Linked DNA regions of Schizosaccharomyces pombe. The gene in region 4 interacts genetically with the main gene of each other region. Each region holds a gene or a part of one and is shown on either strand. Other genes may lie near its edges. The genes, in order: atp12, trm82, btb1 and but1.

Evidence for each region.
Region 1: mutations in but1 (region 4) and atp12 together harm fitness less than expected from each alone (positive genetic interaction), as found in Schizosaccharomyces pombe (one large-scale study listed by BioGRID).
Region 2: mutations in but1 (region 4) and trm82 together harm fitness more than expected from each alone (negative genetic interaction), as found in Schizosaccharomyces pombe (one large-scale study listed by BioGRID).
Region 3: mutations in but1 (region 4) and btb1 together harm fitness more than expected from each alone (negative genetic interaction), as found in Schizosaccharomyces pombe (one large-scale study listed by BioGRID).

What each region holds. Positions count from the first base shown.
Region 1 is NC_003424.3:1,486,305-1,490,153, reverse strand, and holds atp12 (F1-ATPase chaperone Atp12), read left to right. Parts: upstream 1-1,963; 5' UTR 1,964-2,098; coding exon 2,099-2,867; exon of another isoform or gene 2,868-2,916; coding exon 2,917-3,023; 3' UTR 3,024-3,291; downstream 3,292-3,849. Other genes in the region: cwf16 (splicing factor), read left to right, coding at 572-1,384; SPOM_SPAC9.11 (uncharacterized protein), read right to left, coding at 3,292-3,849. UniProt on the Schizosaccharomyces pombe protein: Essential for the assembly of the mitochondrial F1-F0 complex.
Region 2 is NC_003421.2:1,976,561-1,980,917, forward strand, and holds trm82 (tRNA (guanine-N7-)-methyltransferase subunit Trm82), read left to right. Parts: upstream 1-1,960; 5' UTR 1,961-2,334; coding exon 2,335-3,014; intron 3,015-3,087; coding exon 3,088-3,673; 3' UTR 3,674-3,805; downstream 3,806-4,357. Other genes in the region: rRNA processing protein Utp23, read right to left, coding at 663-1,267, 1,452-1,541, 1,654-1,741; rpp0 (60S ribosomal protein uL10), read right to left, coding at 4,069-4,221.
Region 3 is NC_003421.2:129,389-136,086, forward strand, and holds btb1 (BTB/POZ family ubiquitin-type ligase substrate adaptor Btb1), read left to right. Parts: upstream 1-2,006; 5' UTR 2,007-2,128; coding exon 2,129-6,172; downstream 6,173-6,698. Other genes in the region: mRNA 5'-cap (guanine-N7-)-methyltransferase Pcm1, read left to right, coding at 543-1,625; sdh3 (succinate dehydrogenase cytochrome B subunit), read right to left, coding at 6,569-6,698. UniProt on the Schizosaccharomyces pombe protein: Probable substrate-specific adapter of an E3 ubiquitin-protein ligase complex which mediates the ubiquitination and subsequent proteasomal degradation of target proteins.
Region 4 is NC_003424.3:4,532,795-4,536,359, reverse strand, and holds but1 (thioredoxin family protein But1), read left to right. Parts: upstream 1-1,972; 5' UTR 1,973-2,111; coding exon 2,112-2,843; 3' UTR 2,844-3,034; downstream 3,035-3,565. Other genes in the region: dynactin microtubule-binding subunit, p150-Glued Ssm4, read left to right, coding at 1-1,686. UniProt on the Schizosaccharomyces pombe protein: Acts as a negative regulator of the NEDD8 pathway. Has a role in meiosis.

The DNA.
Region 1 (3,849 bases), 3.0 Mb from region 4:
ATCAACTTTACTAAGACGAACATAAGCTGAAATACAGCGATTTTTAACCAAGTTCATATAAATCATCTATTCCTGCCATTAATGCCAACAACCCCATTAATTGTCTATTGCTGTAAGCGTAAAGTACTATGGAGACTGATCAGTCAAAATTAATCAGAAGCATTTAAATAATACACAATTTATAAGGGAATCTAAAGTACTCTTAAAACACCGGAAGGTGTAAGATTGACAAACAACGCTTGCTCACGTCTCGATAGCTCAGCTCAGGTATTGTATAAGGAAATATAAGGATGGTACTAAATATGTTTACGTAGTGCTATGTGCGCATTCAATTTATTACCGCGACGTATCGAGTGTCAAAGAACTACAGATAGTACTAGTACTTTTGCCATTCGCTTACAAAAAGCGCATATCCACATAAAACTAGCATTTTCAAATTCATCTGTAAAGTCAAATAATTCCAACCCAAAAGGACGGTTAAATTTTCCTTACTTTAATTTATTCTTTTTTTTTGAATTTGGTAAAGCAATTCTCGTACGTTCATTTCATTTTTTTTTCATAGTTTCCAACAATGTCTGAACGAAAGGTACTTAACAAGTATATCCCGCCCGATTATGATCCTTCCATTCGTCCTCCTAAGAAAAAGAAAAAGTTTCAAGGACCAAATGGTGGGAAATTGACTGTTCGTTTGATGACTCCATTTTCAATGCGCTGTCATACTTGTGGAGAGTATATATATAAAGGAAAAAAGTTTAACGCTAGGAAGGAGAAAACCGGCGAAAAATATTTTTCAATTGATATATTGAGGTTTTATATTCGCTGCACTAGGTGTGCTGCTGAAATAACATTTATAACCGATCCAAAACATGCAGATTATGCAGCAGAGAGTGGAGCTTCCAGGAATTATGAGCCGTGGCATGAAAAAAGATTACAAGAATATGAAGAAAATGAGTTAGCTGAACGCAATGACATTCCTGAGGAGGACGAAATGGAAAAATTAGAACAAAAAACATTAGACACTAAACGACAAATGCAAATTAGTGATGCACTCGACGAACTACGTGAAAAGAGCGCTCGAAGGTCTCGAGTTAACATTGATGATGCAATCGCTCTCTTAAAGGAAGATGCATATGGATCAATTGAAGAAGAGGAGTCCAAAAAGCGGAAATTTGAGGAAGAAGAAATTGATCGTGAAGCTAAATCGTTGTTTTCGTCTCAGGATGGTGAAATTATAAGAAGATTGAATGCAGAAACAACGGTTGAAAAAGAATTACCCAAACCTATAGATTTGGTTTCTGAGAAGCTGGCCACTTCCAATATACCGAATTTTCAGCCTCCAAAATATGCAAAAAGGAAAATGGAGAAGAAAAAGGTTTTGGTATAACGTCTATAAATGGCTAAATTTTTTAATTACTTGCATTTTTTATAGCTAAGCTATTAAAAATGTACATGTTCTTTTGTACCAGCGCAAGGTTTTTATTGTAATAATATTTAATGAGTTTTTGATGGATTTTCATAACGCGAGTTGATAGTCAATATCCTGTTCTAATTTTTATTATTCGATTAGTAAATGTAGTTTGTTATGTAGAATAATACCGTAGCATTTATAGAAAGGTTTTATTTTGTTTGTATCTATTCTTCAACTTTAAGTTTTTAACAGCACATGTTAATTGATTTTTTTTAAGGTTCCTTCTAATTTTCCGAGTATCTAATTGTAATTTATCAATTTACATTTACGGTTTGTCAAAAAGTAGTCTTAATCGTAGCTAAATTCAAGGCGGCTAACGTAAACAACGGTTTAGGAACTATGATAGGAACGTCTATTAATTTATTTTAAAAGAGTTTTTTCTTGCTTAATTAAAAACTACTTTTAGAAAAAAATATTAAAACTTATTCTCATCATGCCTGTGACAAAATATTGTTAGACTCATCTTACATAGTAACCAATATTTTGGAGAACACCAACTAAAAACGTATATCATAATAATTAACTCTTAAACAATAATTAAAAATTAAATTTTGGCAGTTTGAAGTACGAAAGATTTTTTAGTGTCTCAGATAGACACCTTGAATACCCTTTTTTTTCTATTTTTGTAAGATGCTTCGATCTTTACAATTTTACAGATTATCCAGCAAAAACTTGCTGTCATTTAAAACGTGCTATTCGTTTTACTCTACAAAAGCTTCCTCTCCTTTGCCGCAACCATCATTCAGGAGATTTTGGAAGAATACAGCTACCAAAATCCAAAATGGAGAAGTCTTGATTCAATTAGATGGACGAAATTTAAAATCACCTTCTGGGAAGATTGTTAAGGTACCTAAAGAAATGGAGTTACTAGCACACTTGATTGCCCTAGAATGGGATCGATTACCATCAACCTCTGTTCGACAACACAATCTCCCAATTACTTCCCTAGTTTCGAGAGCTATTGACATATCACAATTCAAAAAAGAAGAAAAGGAACTACTTTCTACTCAATTAATTCGTTTCCTTGACACCGACACAATTCTAATTTACTCCCCCGAAACAGAATATGAAGGGAAATTGTTGGAGGAGCAAAAGGAAAATTGGTGGCCACTGAAAGAAACCTTTGAAAACAAACTTGGTGTGCAATTAAGCTATTTGGATGGTGATGCTGGTATTATTGCCCATAAACAAACGCAGGAAACACACGAACGCATAAGAAACTGGCTCAGCTCGCTGAACTCTTGGCAACTAGCAGCTTTTGAAAGATCTGTTAGTTGCTGCAAGAGCTTCATAGTTTCTTTCATGATTTTAAAAGGATATTTGAACTCTGAAAAAGCTGCCGCTTTGACGAACTTAGAACTTCAGTACCAAACAAATCGATGGGGCTCTTTGGAAGATGGTATGTATAAACTCTCTATTATTCTAATGTTAAATACTTACAACTGCAGCTCACGAAATAGACAATGAGGATCTTAAGAATAAGTTGGCCAGCTCGGCAATACTCTCACGGTGCATAGAAGACATGCATGACAAAAGTAATGAACATGCCCACTAACGGCTATACGCAAACTCAAAAAATTACAAAATTTTTGGAATAGCTCCCTCTGGGTGAACTCAATTAAGAGAACCCTACAACTGTTTACTTAAAACACTGCACATTGCCAAATTAGAATTATAGAGTAATGTTGCCGTCGTTGAACAGAGAATTCTAAATTAGTTTCCTCATGTCGAATATGCTGAGCTATTATGTCAGTTATCCTTCAGACCAAATTGTTTTGACAAGGTACCCAAAATTAATTCATGAATCAATGTAAATGAATAAATTAAGATAATCCTGCATTTTGTAATTTATCTTTTAGGTTAGATATCTCTTCTTCCTTTTGAGCCAATAGAGTCTTTGTCTCTTGTAATTCTTTCTTAAGAGGTTCTACATAATATTTAAGTTCCAACTGTACGAATGTGAGAAGCTCCCGAATCTTTTCTAAACGTGAAAGATGAATGCAATTTGTATCGTCGTGGTAAAAAGAGTCATTATTGTCAGTGCCTTGAGTTTTATGCTGCGAAGAGTCGAATACGATAGGCTTGTAGGATGCAGATAGTTCATTTAATGAAGACATAGGTGGTTTGTCATTATCAGGAACTTGGAATTTCTGGTTAGTGTTATTCAAAGTAGTTATACTATTGGGTTGTGAAGGTAATCCGATATAAGCAGGTGAATCATTTTTTGTTGGGGTTCCAGGTTCTGTTTCGGAAAGTAAAATCGGATGCCTTAAAGGAGATGTTATGTATCCAGAATTTGGGGAAGTTTTTTTAGGACTCAATTTGTTAGCATCAATGGACATAAGAGAGATGCCTCGTCTTTTTGGAGATAGAGAGTTGAC
Region 2 (4,357 bases), on a different chromosome or scaffold from region 4:
CAGAATCTGTATCAATCGCAAGAACGAAAATGACCGCCAAATGCAAATTATTCGAGTTTAACGTTACATAAACGCGCAAATCCACGAACAGTATGATCTTTTCAATACAAAGAATGCAGAGATTTAAGGTCCTGTTGGGTTAATAGAAAACTGTTAGCAAAGTATGTATTTAGGCCAGTAAACTGCGATATTTTTTTTACTGAAATACGTTAGCATTCACAACTGGGCTTACAGTTTCTCCCCTAATATATCAACGATTGAAATCTTTTTAAGATAATCTAACCTTTTATTTAGTCGAATAAAAATTTCAATTTTCTCTTTAAGCTAAATTTGGTTGAAACTGCTTTTTTAGGTCGCTTGGATAATTGCTTCCTTTTCTCTTTCGCTTTAAACGACTTTGAATCTAGATGAAAAATGGTTTACAACTTTACATTTGTGATGATTACATCGTAAATATTTACATTGTGCCTATACCCAATTTTTTTTCTTCGTTTCTTTAGCCACAAGCGTTAGTTGAAAGTATTGTTTACACAGGAAGGGTTGAATCAGAAACATTGTATGTATGATAGCGTTATATTAGTAGACAACACTTGTAGGCAAACCTATCCCGAAAAATTTTATTTTTAAATATATACATATGCTAATTTCCAACAATAAGCAGTCTACTTTCTTTTCCGACGATGTTTTTTTCTTTCACCAACATCACCTATTATGTTTACAGGTAAAGTAGGTTCATCCGTTGTATGGTTTTTTGATGATCTCTTTTTGATGCTTAAAGGGTTAGGCCCTTTAGGACCCTTGCGTTTTTTATTGGCTTTTGGAGCAGAATCCTCTGTTCCCGCTAAATCCGTACTTTCCTTGGTATCTTGATCATCGATAGCCAGTTCATTCGCTGAACGCTTTTTTCCGGATAATAACAACTTTTCCTCTTTTGACATGCCCATCTGAACGGATTCTTTGTTGTGCTTTTCTAATAACGTAGCTCGTGAAGCTGGTTCTAGTATCACAACTGACCTTTTCATATATATAAGTGGAACACCTGGGACCGAACGAAGAGCTTGCCTAAGCTCGGGGTCTTGGGTAGCAACAACATAGCGGTGCTTGTTCCGACCATTAATGTTGACTACACTCTGAATACATTCTGAAGGAGAGAGTGCTTCATCAATATGACCACACCTCCTTCGCTCAAAAGACTTTGCGATACGAATTTCTTGCTTCAATTCATCGGATTTACTGTACAATTGCCGAATACAACATTGAGTAATCACTATAGTCAGTTAGTAAATCCGTTAGTTATAATAATTTACAAGGAGAACATAAGGAAAGAAAATAATAAACCAGACCCGGATGAAAAGATACTATGTTGAATAATTAAACTTTCCGTTCTGTTTCATATTCCGGGGGTTCGCCCTTTTTTCCAGTAAAAGAAAACACTTATAAACAAAACTTACTAGGTTTTATAGCTCCTTGAACAGTCCTAGCTAATGCAGCTTGTATATCAATCTTTTGTTGAGATAAATCTTTTAGGAAATCTGCATCCACTAAAAATCATGTTAGTTTAATAACATCACCAAAAAGAAAATGCTTATTGTTTGCAAATTAGAACTTGGGTAAGGATGCATCTTTACAAGCATCATTTTCTGTACCACATACCGAGTACTTGATATGGTTCACGAAATCCAAATAAAAGCTGATACGTATGCATCAGCTTTCTGTAATTCTTTGCCCTTTTTTGCCTCATATTTACGCCCTTTTCTGTGCGTCACACAGCCTAAGACTTAATATGCTTTAGATCACTTGTTTTTTTAAGAATTTTTTTTTTCGCTCAAAAACGAAAAGTCTTTTGTTACTATTAGAAATATTAAAAAAATAAATTCAATCGTATTAAAAGAAGTATCCAGGAACCCTAATATTGCTGAAATCCTCTTATTAGGAAATTTCCAACTAGTTTGTACTTTCCAAGTTCACCCACGTACTAAAATTTTGGGCGCTTTAACTATTTAACTTAAGTGAGATACTTGGCTTCGAACTGAGTGTATACTTCTTTTATTTCTCTATTTAGATAAATTTGTAAGGAAACGGTATTAAGCAGAAAGAGGATTCAGTCTATTATTTACCCTTATCATACTTTTTCTTCATTTCTACTGCGTAAATAATTTTAAAGCTTTGCTTTTTATTATTTGAAAGATTTGTCATTATTACTTTCTTTCTTCTAAAGCTTCTTTTTCTTCTTTTTATAAAATTGTAAATATATTCGGATCCAAAAATTAGAGGTTTATTTCTGAAGTGTTTGTTTTGTTGCTTCTATTTTCTTAAGAATCAATCAATAAAAACATGAGTGAACAGCGAGTTTTTAAGCACCCTTGTCAATTTTTAACATGGAATTCTAAACACAATTACATCGTGTGCTGTTCAGGTCCATATCTATTGGGGTTCTCATGCTCTACAGGGGAAAAAATTTTTGAACATTGTTATAGAGACAATATAAATGAAAAACATAGAGAGGCAGCTGCCTATGGAGAAGCGATTCGTCAAGTCGCATTTTCTAAAGACTATTCTCGTATGGCAACAGTTAGTGAAGACAAATGTTTGCGCCTTTGGGATAGCACTCAGCCTGATAAAATTGAACTTCTTTATCAAAAAAACATACCAAAGCGATGTGCTGACTTGTGCTTTGCGGGCTCAAACGAAATTGTTTTTGGTGATAAGTTTGGTGATGTCTATTGTGTAGACGAAAATTGGTTTACTACTTCTGAAGTTACCGAAGAAAAAAAGTCAAATGTGGTTGAAGGAAAACAAGAACCTGTTAATAATGACACTTTAAAGGATTCGAAATTGCAAAAACTCGAACCCATTATGGGGCATGTTTCGATCTTAACTCAATTAATAGTTGCTCAAAATCCACAAAATTCTAAAGAAGAAATAATCATTACTTCAGATAAAGACGAGCATATTCGTATTTCCCGATTTCCCAATGCATTTGTCATTGAAGGGTTTTGCTTAGGTCATGAAGAGTAAGTTTTCATTTGGTTTTAGTTGATCAATTTTTTTTTTTTTTTTTTAAATAACACTAACGCCTTTTCCTAGTTTTGTATCTAGGATGTCCTTATATGACAATCGTACTCTAATATCTGGCGGTGGAGATAATCACGTTTTCGTATGGGATTTAGAGAATTTCAAATGTTTGGATGCATTCGATCTACGATCTGCCTTTTCCACTTATCTCTCATTAAATCAACCAATGGTGGTTTCAGTTATTCTTCCTATTTTTAAGCGCCAGCTTGTTGCTTTTGCGTGTGAAGGAATGGCGGGTCTTATCTTCGCGAAGGTGACACCTGAAAAGAGACTGTTGTTTCATTCTGCTTTGAAGCTGTCAGGGCCTGTTCTTGACGCTGTTTTGCTTGACACGGATACTGATCAAATTCTCATTTCTTTGGACTCTAGTTTTACATTTGGTGCATGTTTTGAATGCGTGAAATTTGATGAAGGGAATGCGGCTGTTCTTACGAAACCCGATGTAATAAAGCGTATAGAATCTGATGGTTTAATATCAACCGAAAAGCCGTTCTGCCCGCTCGCTCAAATTCACACATTACGCAAGAACCACTCTAAATTCATTCGCAGTGTTGAAACCGGTACATCTTCGCCATCCGTTGAATCTAAAGATAATTAAAGCTCATTTTAGGGAGACCGGCTCAAAAAAAATAATTGGGAAAAGTGGGAGCATCAGTAAATATGGAAAATAGATATGAATAAAAATGATTGTGACATTAAAGTATAATAGGGAGAGCATTTAATTTCTTTGGAGAAACCCAGAATTTTGAAGTATAAATACAGTCAGCGATTAATAATTATGCGAATAAACGCAACTTGTATCTACTGCATAAGTGCAACTGCTATTCAGTTGTGCAACGTCAGCAATTTGAAGAAGTAAAATTAATCGTTTATTCAATTCCTTCCATTTACATGCTACGACAATACTTTACATAATACTTGCAACGGCAAATTGTTTTTAGAAGGCCTAAAGAACACGAGATACATCCATTAGTGCTATCTAACAAAAAAAGCTTAGTCGAAGAGACCGAAACCCATGTCCTCATCGGATTCCTCTTCCTCTTCAGCAGCAGCCTCGGCAGCGGGTGCCTCAGCTTCACCACCAGCAGCAGCAGCAGGAGCAGCGGCGACTACGAAAGCAGAGGGATCAGCAAGGAAAGCCTTAGTCTAAAATAAAGTTAGTGAACTGAGTACAAAAATAATTTAATGATTCAAAGAGTTTAATTGTATACAAGCGTTCAGCAAAAAATTAGAGTGTTTAAACTTTGCGCTCATGAAAATTTAGCGAGTTAAAATAATCCTC
Region 3 (6,698 bases), on a different chromosome or scaffold from region 4:
AAAAATTAATTTCGGTTTTTAATAGGTAAGCAATAAGCAATTTAATGAAATATCTACTTTATGTATCTATCATTGTTTTATGATTACTTCTTGTTGCAATCTGGCAGTAGTAGATTAGTCGCCCAAAATTTCAAGTTTTGTTTATTTATTTATTTAGAAGCAGGTTCGTTTTTTATATGTAAACTAAATTTGGCTGAATTGAAAACATTGTCAACAAATTATATATATCTTAGCTGTGGTAATGTAAAGAATCTGGTAATCCACTTCGTATTGCAACATCTACTTTTCTCGCCAGTATACCAACCACACTGCAACCTCATGCTATTGAATATAGTCTAATTTCTCTAAGACAGTAAAGCAAGTTTTAAAAGTCATATGTTTTTGATCTTTTTTAAAGAAGTTTCTGTTTTTTGAATTATTTTGAAGAAAATTATTTGTATGTAAGTTTGTGATCGATGGATAGTCATCATATGATGGAAAGATCGTTAACCTTTGAAAGAAACTATTCTCATTTATTTATAATAATATTTATAATAAGAGATATGAGCAGCTCGAACTCCCGAGTGCATGAGGAACAGCCTCCAACAGAAAATCGCAGATATGCGAGACCTACTGCACAAATGAATCGAGTAATTGAACAACAACCAAGGCGTCGCGATTACTTCCAAAACAATGACAACTCTGGTCGCAGAGGTTATAATAGGCATGAAAACAATGGTAATGCGCAGGATGTGGTACGTTCACACTATAACGCGCGTCCTGATTTGGGTTATAAAAAACGACAATTTTCTCCTATTATTCAACTAAAGAGGTTTAACAACTGGATCAAATCTGTTCTCATACAAAAATTCGCACCCCATGCTTCTGATTATCCTATTTTGGTACTAGACATGGGATGTGGAAAAGGTGGTGATTTAATTAAATGGGACAAAGCTGGCATTGATGGATATATTGGGATTGACATAGCTGAAGTTTCCGTAAATCAGGCCAAGAAGAGATACCGTGAAATGCATGCTTCTTTTGATGCACTATTCTACGCTGGCGACTGTTTTTCTAGCTCAATTAACGAATTACTTCCCCCAGACCAAAGAAAATTTGACGTTGTTTCTCTACAGTTTTGCATGCATTATGCATTTGAAAGCGAAGAAAAGGTTAGGGTCTTGTTGGGGAACGTTTCTAAATGCCTTCCTCGTGGTGGAGTAATGATAGGAACGATTCCCAATTCCGATGTAATTGTCAAACATATTAAAATGCTTAAACCAGGAGAAAAAGAATGGGGAAATGACATATACAAAGTCAGATTTCCTGAATCACCTCCACGCTCTTTTCGACCTCCGTATGGAATTCAATATTATTTTTATTTAGAGGATGCTGTTACCGATGTTCCTGAATATGTAGTTCCTTTTGAAGCCTTTCGTGCTGTTGCCGAAGGATACAATCTTGAATTAATATGGGTAAAACCTTTTTTGGACATCTTAAATGAAGAGAAAAACTCTGAAACGTATGGACCCCTAATGGATCGAATGAAAGTCGTTGATAATGAAGGACACCGTGGAATTGGTGGACAGGAAAAAGAAGCAGCAGGATTTTATTTAGCATTTGCCTTTGAGAAGAGGGGAATTTAGTCTTTTCTTTCCTTATCCCACTGATTCACTGTGCAGACCGCATTGTAGAAAGATCTTTCACGCTCGAAAGATCAGTACAGTGGTAGAAAAAAAGATGACTTTAAAAGATGTAGATTAATTTTTGATGGCAATGACTTTTATTTATTTATTCATTTTTATGCCTTTATTCTTTCTTTTTCTGTTTTCATATATTTTATACATAAGTAACATGCTCTCTTTCATTCCAGCTTAAGCGAATAAATAAAGTATGCTCCCAGGCATATTTCATCAAATCAGATTGCCCCAAAAATTGCCTCAAATATTAAGCGATAGCTTAAATCAATGCACCTGTCGGTATTCAACTACCAGCATCCACTGCTACTCTTCTTCCATTTTTTCTTCAGCAACAGTCAAGTTAAAAAACTGGAACGTTTTAATTGATTTGAGAGAAAATTTCTTATGGAGTAATCGATTGATTAAATGATAAATTCACATTGCGCCCTTTTTTAGTCTCGATTGATTAAATGAGTCATCTGCTTTTCGCGTATTACCTTTGCAACGACATTCGCTCATTCCAAAATCTACTGAAGCAAGATGATTCAAAGGTGAAAGAGCCTAGAAAGGGTTTTTCGGAAAAGAGCGGACAAAAACTCCGTATCAACCAAAAAGATCGATACGGACGCACCGTGCTGCACATCGCCGTTTCTGAGAATAAAAATTCCTTTGTTAGATCTCTTTTGCAGCATAAAGGCATTGATGTTTTTGTGCAAGATGAAGAATCTGGATATACGGCGTTGCATCGGGCAATCTACGTTGGCAACTTGGAAGCAGCGTCTTTGCTTTTATCAAAAGATCCCTCCTTCAGATCATTGCGTATTAAAGACAAAGAAGGTCTTTCTCCATTTCAATTTTTATCACGAGTCCTTTCAAGCACTATTCATCCGGTTCTTGACTTACCGATAATAGGAAATGAACTTTATGGCTTTGGTACTAACGTAAACAATACGCTCGGAATAGCAAATGGGAAAGAACCTTCATCGCCAGAAAGAGTGTTTTTACTGAAAAACCAAACAGAGTCTCCCACATCAGGTCAACTCTTTTCCCGAGACAAAATCCTTGATGTGCAGGCTTCCAAATTTCACAGCGTCGTACTAACGGATGAGCCGTCGCAAAATGTTTACGTATGTGGTATTGGTGCTGGAGGGAGAATAGGTTTTAACACGGACGTTCAATATAACTTTATTCCTATTCCTGGTATCATTCATAAAGTTATCCAGATTTCTGTTAGTCATACCCATTCACTTGCTCTTACAAAGTTCGGAAGTATTTATTCGTGGGGAAAGAATGGTTCTGGTGAACTGGGACTTTCTAATGACGAACTGAAAAAGGATGATCCAATTCAAATTACCCCTAGGCGTATCTCTGCATTCAAGGATTATCAGATAATTGGAATGGCGGCTGGAAAAAGTTATAGCGTTGCTTGGACTGACACTGATATTTACAGCTGGGGGTTAAATAATGGCCAATTAGGTATATCTGATCATATTTCAGTTGTTTCTACTCCAAGGAGAGTTGCTGGCTTATTATCGCCTGTCATACATGCCGTTTGTACTACTCGTGCTACGATATGCCTTTTACAAAACAACAGTATAATTGCCTTTTGCAATTATAATCAAGTGAAATTGCCATTCAACGTTGACTTTGGTAGTTCGTTAAAGGTAACTAAGCATCCTCTTTCCCTCACCAGATTTAACGTTAGAAAATTATTAGCTTCAGAAAACAAACTAGCCGTGCTTACAGAACTAGGCGAAGTCTATGAATTTGATATGAAGCTTTTACTTGATCGTGATTCTACCTCTTCCAAGAATTCCACACGAACTTCATTCAAATTTACTCCATTATGGATTTTTGAATCTTCAGACCTTGCAGCTTTAGATATTGCGTGGACCGCTGATAATTCTTTAATACTATGTACTAGAAATGGCACTTGTTGGAAACGGGAGTTAAGGTCAAAAAAGCGAGAAAAGTCATCTAGTAGCCCGTATTCTAGAGGACCATACAAATATAATAGAATTGAAAATTTACAAATGGTTGTTGGAGTCCGTGCGAGCGCTTCTGGATCATTTTTTGCAATTCGAAATGATTATCTTCCACCGCCAATCTACAAGCCTTCGAATATGTTAATTGATCTTTTGCGCTCACTACTTCCCTATGACCACCTTTTACATGTAAGACAACCACGTTTGATTCCTCCCGAAGATGAAGACGGAGTCCCTATTTTTGACGAAGACCGCGCTGCATCCAGCAATGAGATGCAGCTACTTTTTGAAGGATCTATACCGATTCTTACTAGTTATGAAAATTATAAGCAATCATTTTCTGATGTTACTATTTATTGTGGTACTTCTATGTTCCACTCACATAAGTTCATATTGTGTGCTCGATCTTCATTTTTGAGAAAATTATTGCTACAAAAAAAGAAATCGAGTGTCTCCAACATCATTTACATTGAAGAAATCACTCAATCTCATTCAACAATTAGAGTTGAAGATATTCCTCCTTTAGCGGTTGCTATTCTTTTGCATTATTTGTACACGGATACATTGCTTTCTCCATGGCATCTTGATTCACGCTTTTCACCTTTAAAAGAAAACCTTTCAAAACTTGCAAACTTACTGGAGTTACCTCATTTAGCGGAGGTTTTACCGTTTAGTGTTTCCCGCCAACCTTTGCTTTCTTTAACGAATGACATTCTGCAACTATATAATAATTTTTATGTCTTATGCGAAGAAACAATGGATACAGTAATAAAGCTTAAAGATGGAGAGCTCAAGGCACATGGTCTTTTTTTAAGTCTCCGCAGTGAATACTTTAGTTCTTATTTCCAATTTGTTTCTATGGAAAGCAATAGTTTTGACATCCCAATAACCGTCAATTTGTCTCATTTGACTGTTGAGCATATGTCAATTGTTCTTCGTCATGTATACAGTGACTTAAAAGTTGAGCTTTTTGACGATTTGAAAGAATCCGATTTTCATAATTGGTTGGAAACTATGTTCGAAATTTTGTCTATTGCAGACGAGCTTCTTTTTCTTGAACTAAAAAGCATAGCCCAGCAATCCTTACTTCGCTTTTTAAATTTGAAAACTCTACCTACTCTAATGGATCTTTCACTTAGTTATCACGCTGAGGAGCTTTATTCACGATGTATTGATTATGCTTGTCACAATATTGAATTCTTTTTGGAAGCAAATCGTATAAGTGAATGGGATGGTTTCCATTTAAAAAAAGTCGCTCAACGTTTAACTGAATTGCTTTCTGATCAACGAGTACATCTTCCTTCTAGCAAGATTGCTAATAGATTATTGATAAGAGATCCAGTGTTGATGGAAAAAAGAAATTATGAGCTTAAAGTTCTCAGAGAATACTTGTTTTCCCAGGAAAGTTCTCAATTATGGGACGATTCCCCTTATCGGTCTATTTTTGAAGATCGTCGATGCAGCACTTCAGCAGTAATTTTAGAATCTGGAATTGTTCCTTCAAGTAATCAAAGTGATTCATTAAATAAGGAAGATGCTGAGGAGAAGTCTCCTAAACCAAATGTTGTTAACGTTACGAGCATTACAAAGACAGCAGGAGCTTCTGTTGAAATTCAAAACAATATAGAGTCTGCTTCGTCAGGAGGGGATAAAACACAATTAAATGGTCCTGGGGCTGATCAACCTGTTACTGCAACAATTACTTTTGACAAAACGAGTCCATGGAGGAATAGGGAAAATCTTTCTCATAATAACAACACTACTAGAGCTAGTCTTAGAGAATTGCTGGAGCAAGAGAAAGCTGATGCTTCAACTACTACGGTTTTGTCTGATTCTAGATTTATGAAAGCTCCAACTAAAAAATCCCAACGTGAGAAAAAAAAGGAGCTTTCAAAGCAAGTGCCTATTTCCAAAACAAATGTTGGCCACATCGATATCGAGTTGGGTAAATCGAATCACTCAAACCCTTGGTCTGTAGCAACACATCAGAGGGGCAGTTTTTCGTCATCAACTGGAGTGAAAAAGTCATTTAATGGTATTCTTAGAGAGGCAGCTCGAGAGGAAGGTTCATCTCAAGTAATTTATCAAGAATCGAAGAAGCGCATTTCCAATGGTTCTCCAACTAGTTGGAACCTACTTACTAAACCATCTCCCCGATCTGCTTCTTTACCAAAAAATAGCCAACCTTTATCGATTTCGGAGATTATGACTGAGCAGAAAGAAGAAATTGAGAGTCAAAAGAGGAGATCATCTTTTAGAAAAACAATTGAGGAGATACAACAGGAAGAGGAGTTTCAAAAGTGGTGGGAGGAGGAGAGTTTGAGAGTACAGAAAGAACTTGGAATCCTTAAAACTGAAAGAGATACCTCTACGAATAGAAAACAGGGACAAGCTTCTAAACAACCTCAACGAAGGCACAGAAAGGAAAAAGATTCCAAAGTGTCAGAGTCCACTGCGGAGTTTAAATCTCTTCCTATTGATATACCAAGGACTACTCACAAGAAAGGAAAAGCACGTGCAGTCAAATGACCATAACAACGACTATATACAAAAAATTCAGGACATTAATTTATTCAACTTATGAAGAGATACTTTAATAGATATGTATAAGAAAAAATATTTGCTACATGGTGAATTATTTATTAAGCTTTTGTTTCACGATACCAATCACACATTTTACATACGCTAAAAATTCAATATTTGAAAATAATAAAATTGAATAGGAAACTTTGGTCATAAAGAAATTCAAAGCACGTACGGAATGAATACAAGAATTCGATATACACGGTAATTTATAGTGTATCAAGGACAGATCCAATTGTAGTGGAAAAATTATAGGAGAAATGATGCTGCTTCGTAAATTCACTAGAGAAACCGTGACAAGCAATTACAAAACGAGCAAAGATAAGGTTTGTTTCCATTCACCTAAATCATCGCAAAATAGCCAGAGGTCAAAACGGAAAGGGCAAGAACAGCATAACCGGTACGATAGACACCCTTTAGACTTAACTCCTTGGTGGTATCCCAGATCAAGTGACGAATACCGTTAAAAATG
Region 4 (3,565 bases):
GAAAGATCATTGGCACGCCCATTGTGCATTACACCTATTGATTCGTCTACTCCCACAAAGACAGCTACGTTTTATACTTCATCTACAACTGAAAATCTAGATGAGCTAAATTTTTCAACAGAAGAATTATCAAGTTTTGACACTACTTTGTTAAACTCAGATACGAGCAAATTGTCTGGGCTTGACGATAGTAGTTTTATGGAAGAGGAATTTGTATGGCAAGTTGACAACGTTTTGCAGGAATGTGAAAAAAAATTTACTCCTCATTCAAAGGGAAGTTATTTAAAAGAGAATTTAAAGTCAGAATTAAGGAAGGGTCGTTTGGATGAATTGATGTGTGAAAATACCGCCTTAAAAGAAAAAATTGATAAATTAAATAAGGAATTAGAGAAAGTTGAACCTCAGTTGACATTCCTTCGCAGTAAAAACAGTATTGAAAAACCTCGGAATTTTAGGCGTGAAAAGTTTCTCAAAAAATTCTTGGCTATGCAGAAAGAAATAAAGTATCTAAGAAAGCGAAAGTTGCAAATTCGAAAGATTCCTAATTATAAGTACTCTGATCGAAGTTTGAATTCCAAAACTCCTAAAAGCCAGGACAACTGGACTACACAAGTTACACCATCTAGTCTCCTTGGGGTCTCAGAGGTTTCTAAGGTTTTGCAATTAAAACAGGTTCAGGTCGACATAACTGAGCTTGTAAAAATTCCTAAAAACCCGTTTTCTGAGAAATTGACAATATCTAACGTGAATAGATACTTAAATATTGTACCGGGAAGTTTGGATTTACAATTTTCATTAACAAATGAAAATTTTGTACATTGGAATAGCACAGTTTATCAAGAATTATTAAACTTAAAGTCCAACAACTCTTCAGTGGATGGTGTGAAGACAAGAAGGCAACTGTTGGAGGAAAATGCTTTGTTGTCTCATAAAGTATTAAAACTAACAGAAGAAATTCAAGACTTGGAAACTTTGAATCAGCTAAACACTGAAATAGAAGCAAGACAATCGGAAAAGTTAAATGAGGTGCAAGAGGAAACTCAAAGGCTATCTCAGTTACTAATATCTTCTCAACCTGCTTTGACAGAAGTTAAACATTTGAAACTATGCTTATCAGACTCTCAAGAGGAATTATTGCAATTAAATGCAAAACTTGAGAAAGCAAATATTGTAATAGACGAGTTAAACAGTGCAAAATTGAAACTATCAAAACAAGTGGAGGAGGAAAGTAGTATGAAAGACGACCTTACAGAAATGAACCAACGTTTAAAAGAACAAATTGAATCATACGAGAATGAAGTTAACTCTGAAATCACTTCTAGAACATTGAAAGAATTTGAAACATTAAAGACACAGTATGAGAAAAATCTTTGTAATTTAAGAGAACAGCTAAAGACCGCAAGGATGAAACTGGCCGATAAATATCCACAAGGTGACAATACTAGTGAAAATATAGACTGGCTCAAACACAGTTTACGGGATTCTAATACTGAAAACTCAATTCCAAGCCCATTGACCTTTGCCTGCAAGGAGATAAGAAAATTAGTTGCAGATATTAAACCCGTTTCAGTAGAAAAGCAGCTGGCCTTGAATTGGAAAAAAGATATCGAGCGACCCAGTTTTCATCACAATCAACAGCTATTTAATTATTGTCAGTTAACAGACATTCTTTCCAAAAAATGCTAATCTTTTAATGAGATATATAATTCAATTTATTAATAGCCGCCGAAAATTAGCTTCTAATCTTAACTGCCATATTTTAACGAATTTATCATTAATGTACTGTATGGTGTTGCTTTAAGTTTAAGATCGACTTGTAACCTCTTTTGTGACCTGTTATGCATTAACGAAATATGGGGTTGAGTATTTGATTGGTTCATGTTTGTATTAAACTAACGTACTTTTGGCCAATTAGATCGACTTTGAAGATTAATTGTCGACGTGAGAATCATGTAAATAAACAAGTTTACTTACCCTAAACCAACCACTTTAAGAGTGGGAAACTGCTTGTTTCACATTGCACGGTAGCGATATTATTTTTTTTTGTTACCTTTTTTCTATTAAAGCGTATCAAGCGTTTCTTCACCTTCTTGCAGAGAAAGGGTTAGAAAATGGAAATCGACCAAAACCTTTTCCAGTTTCCCATTTCGACTCGTGATGCTGTTCACGAGAAAAATTGTACTTTAAGAGTTAAATCTACAAAAAAAAGAAGAAGCTCTACGAAAGATGAAGAAACGCGTGGTATGCATCCCCATATAAAGAGTTCGTTTAGGAACGGAATGAACCATGCACGTGTCATTAGGGAAGAAGATATGGAAGTAGTATTTGAACCATGTTTCATTAATCTTTCCAAACCCGTTTACGTTGTAAATGGTATCGGTGGAATAAATGAAATTCATAAATTACCTATACTATTCTCTTCATTTGTTCTCTGTTTCTTTGGTAATGTCAGCGGTGATTATGGTTATGTTGACAACGTCCCACTTCACATATCTGTCATTAGTCACTTTTATCCATGTCTGCAATCCTACAACACAGATGTGATTGGTATCACTACTGATACGGTTGAAAATATATGTCAATGGAAAGCCCATCTGCCTCGTGCTCTACAATTTTCATTACCAGTTATTTCGGATTCTAACAATGAAATTTGTAGAGAGATGGGAATGCTGCATCCTCTTGGAGGAGCAAAATTAGCTTTGGATGCAATTGTAATTATAGATTCCATAGGGCGTCGACGCGACATCCTTCCCATTCGTACTACCACTTGTGTATCTACTTTAATAACAGCAGTTCAAGAAACTGTTCGATTTTTGGCAATTGAAAATGGAAGGTTGCTTTAAAAGCCTTCTATGATGATCACTCGTTCAAAAAAAAAATGACAAACAAAAATTTTTTTACGTTTCAGCAAAAGTTGATGATATTGTCACACATAAAACCACAAAACATGGGTTCAATGGAATAGAAAATACTTTCTATAAATACATATATATATATTTAATATTTCACAAAATAAATTACAATGTACCATAAATTATGCTGTCAAAAATTTACGATAAGGTACGGATGGGTATTTATTAAATTTTTCAAAAAAAAAAAAAAAAAAAGTGTAAGGAATAATTTATTAAACTATGATATCTTTAACAAAAAAAATCAATGAACCAATAAATTAAATAAATAAAAAAGTCAACTCTGATTATCAAATTATAAACATCACCGATATCAATTTCAATCAGTCAATAAATAATTTGGCATATTCTTTTTGAAGCATTTACTTTTTCAGAACAAAGCCAAGCTGATAGATTTTAGTTTAAATTCCTCTATTCAAATAAAAATGACAGTGCAGGCTTCTATAGTATTATTTTGTTCAAACAAAAGTAATCAAAATTTGAGTAATAAAAAAAATGCAAAAATTAAAAATAATCAAATATTCTCTCCCTCCGGGATTCGAACCCGGGCTGCAAGCGTGACAGGCTTGTGTACTACCCCTATACTAAAGGAGATCGTTGTAAACTAATCTTTATAATTATATATATTTAAGAAATATAATTATATGATATAATTA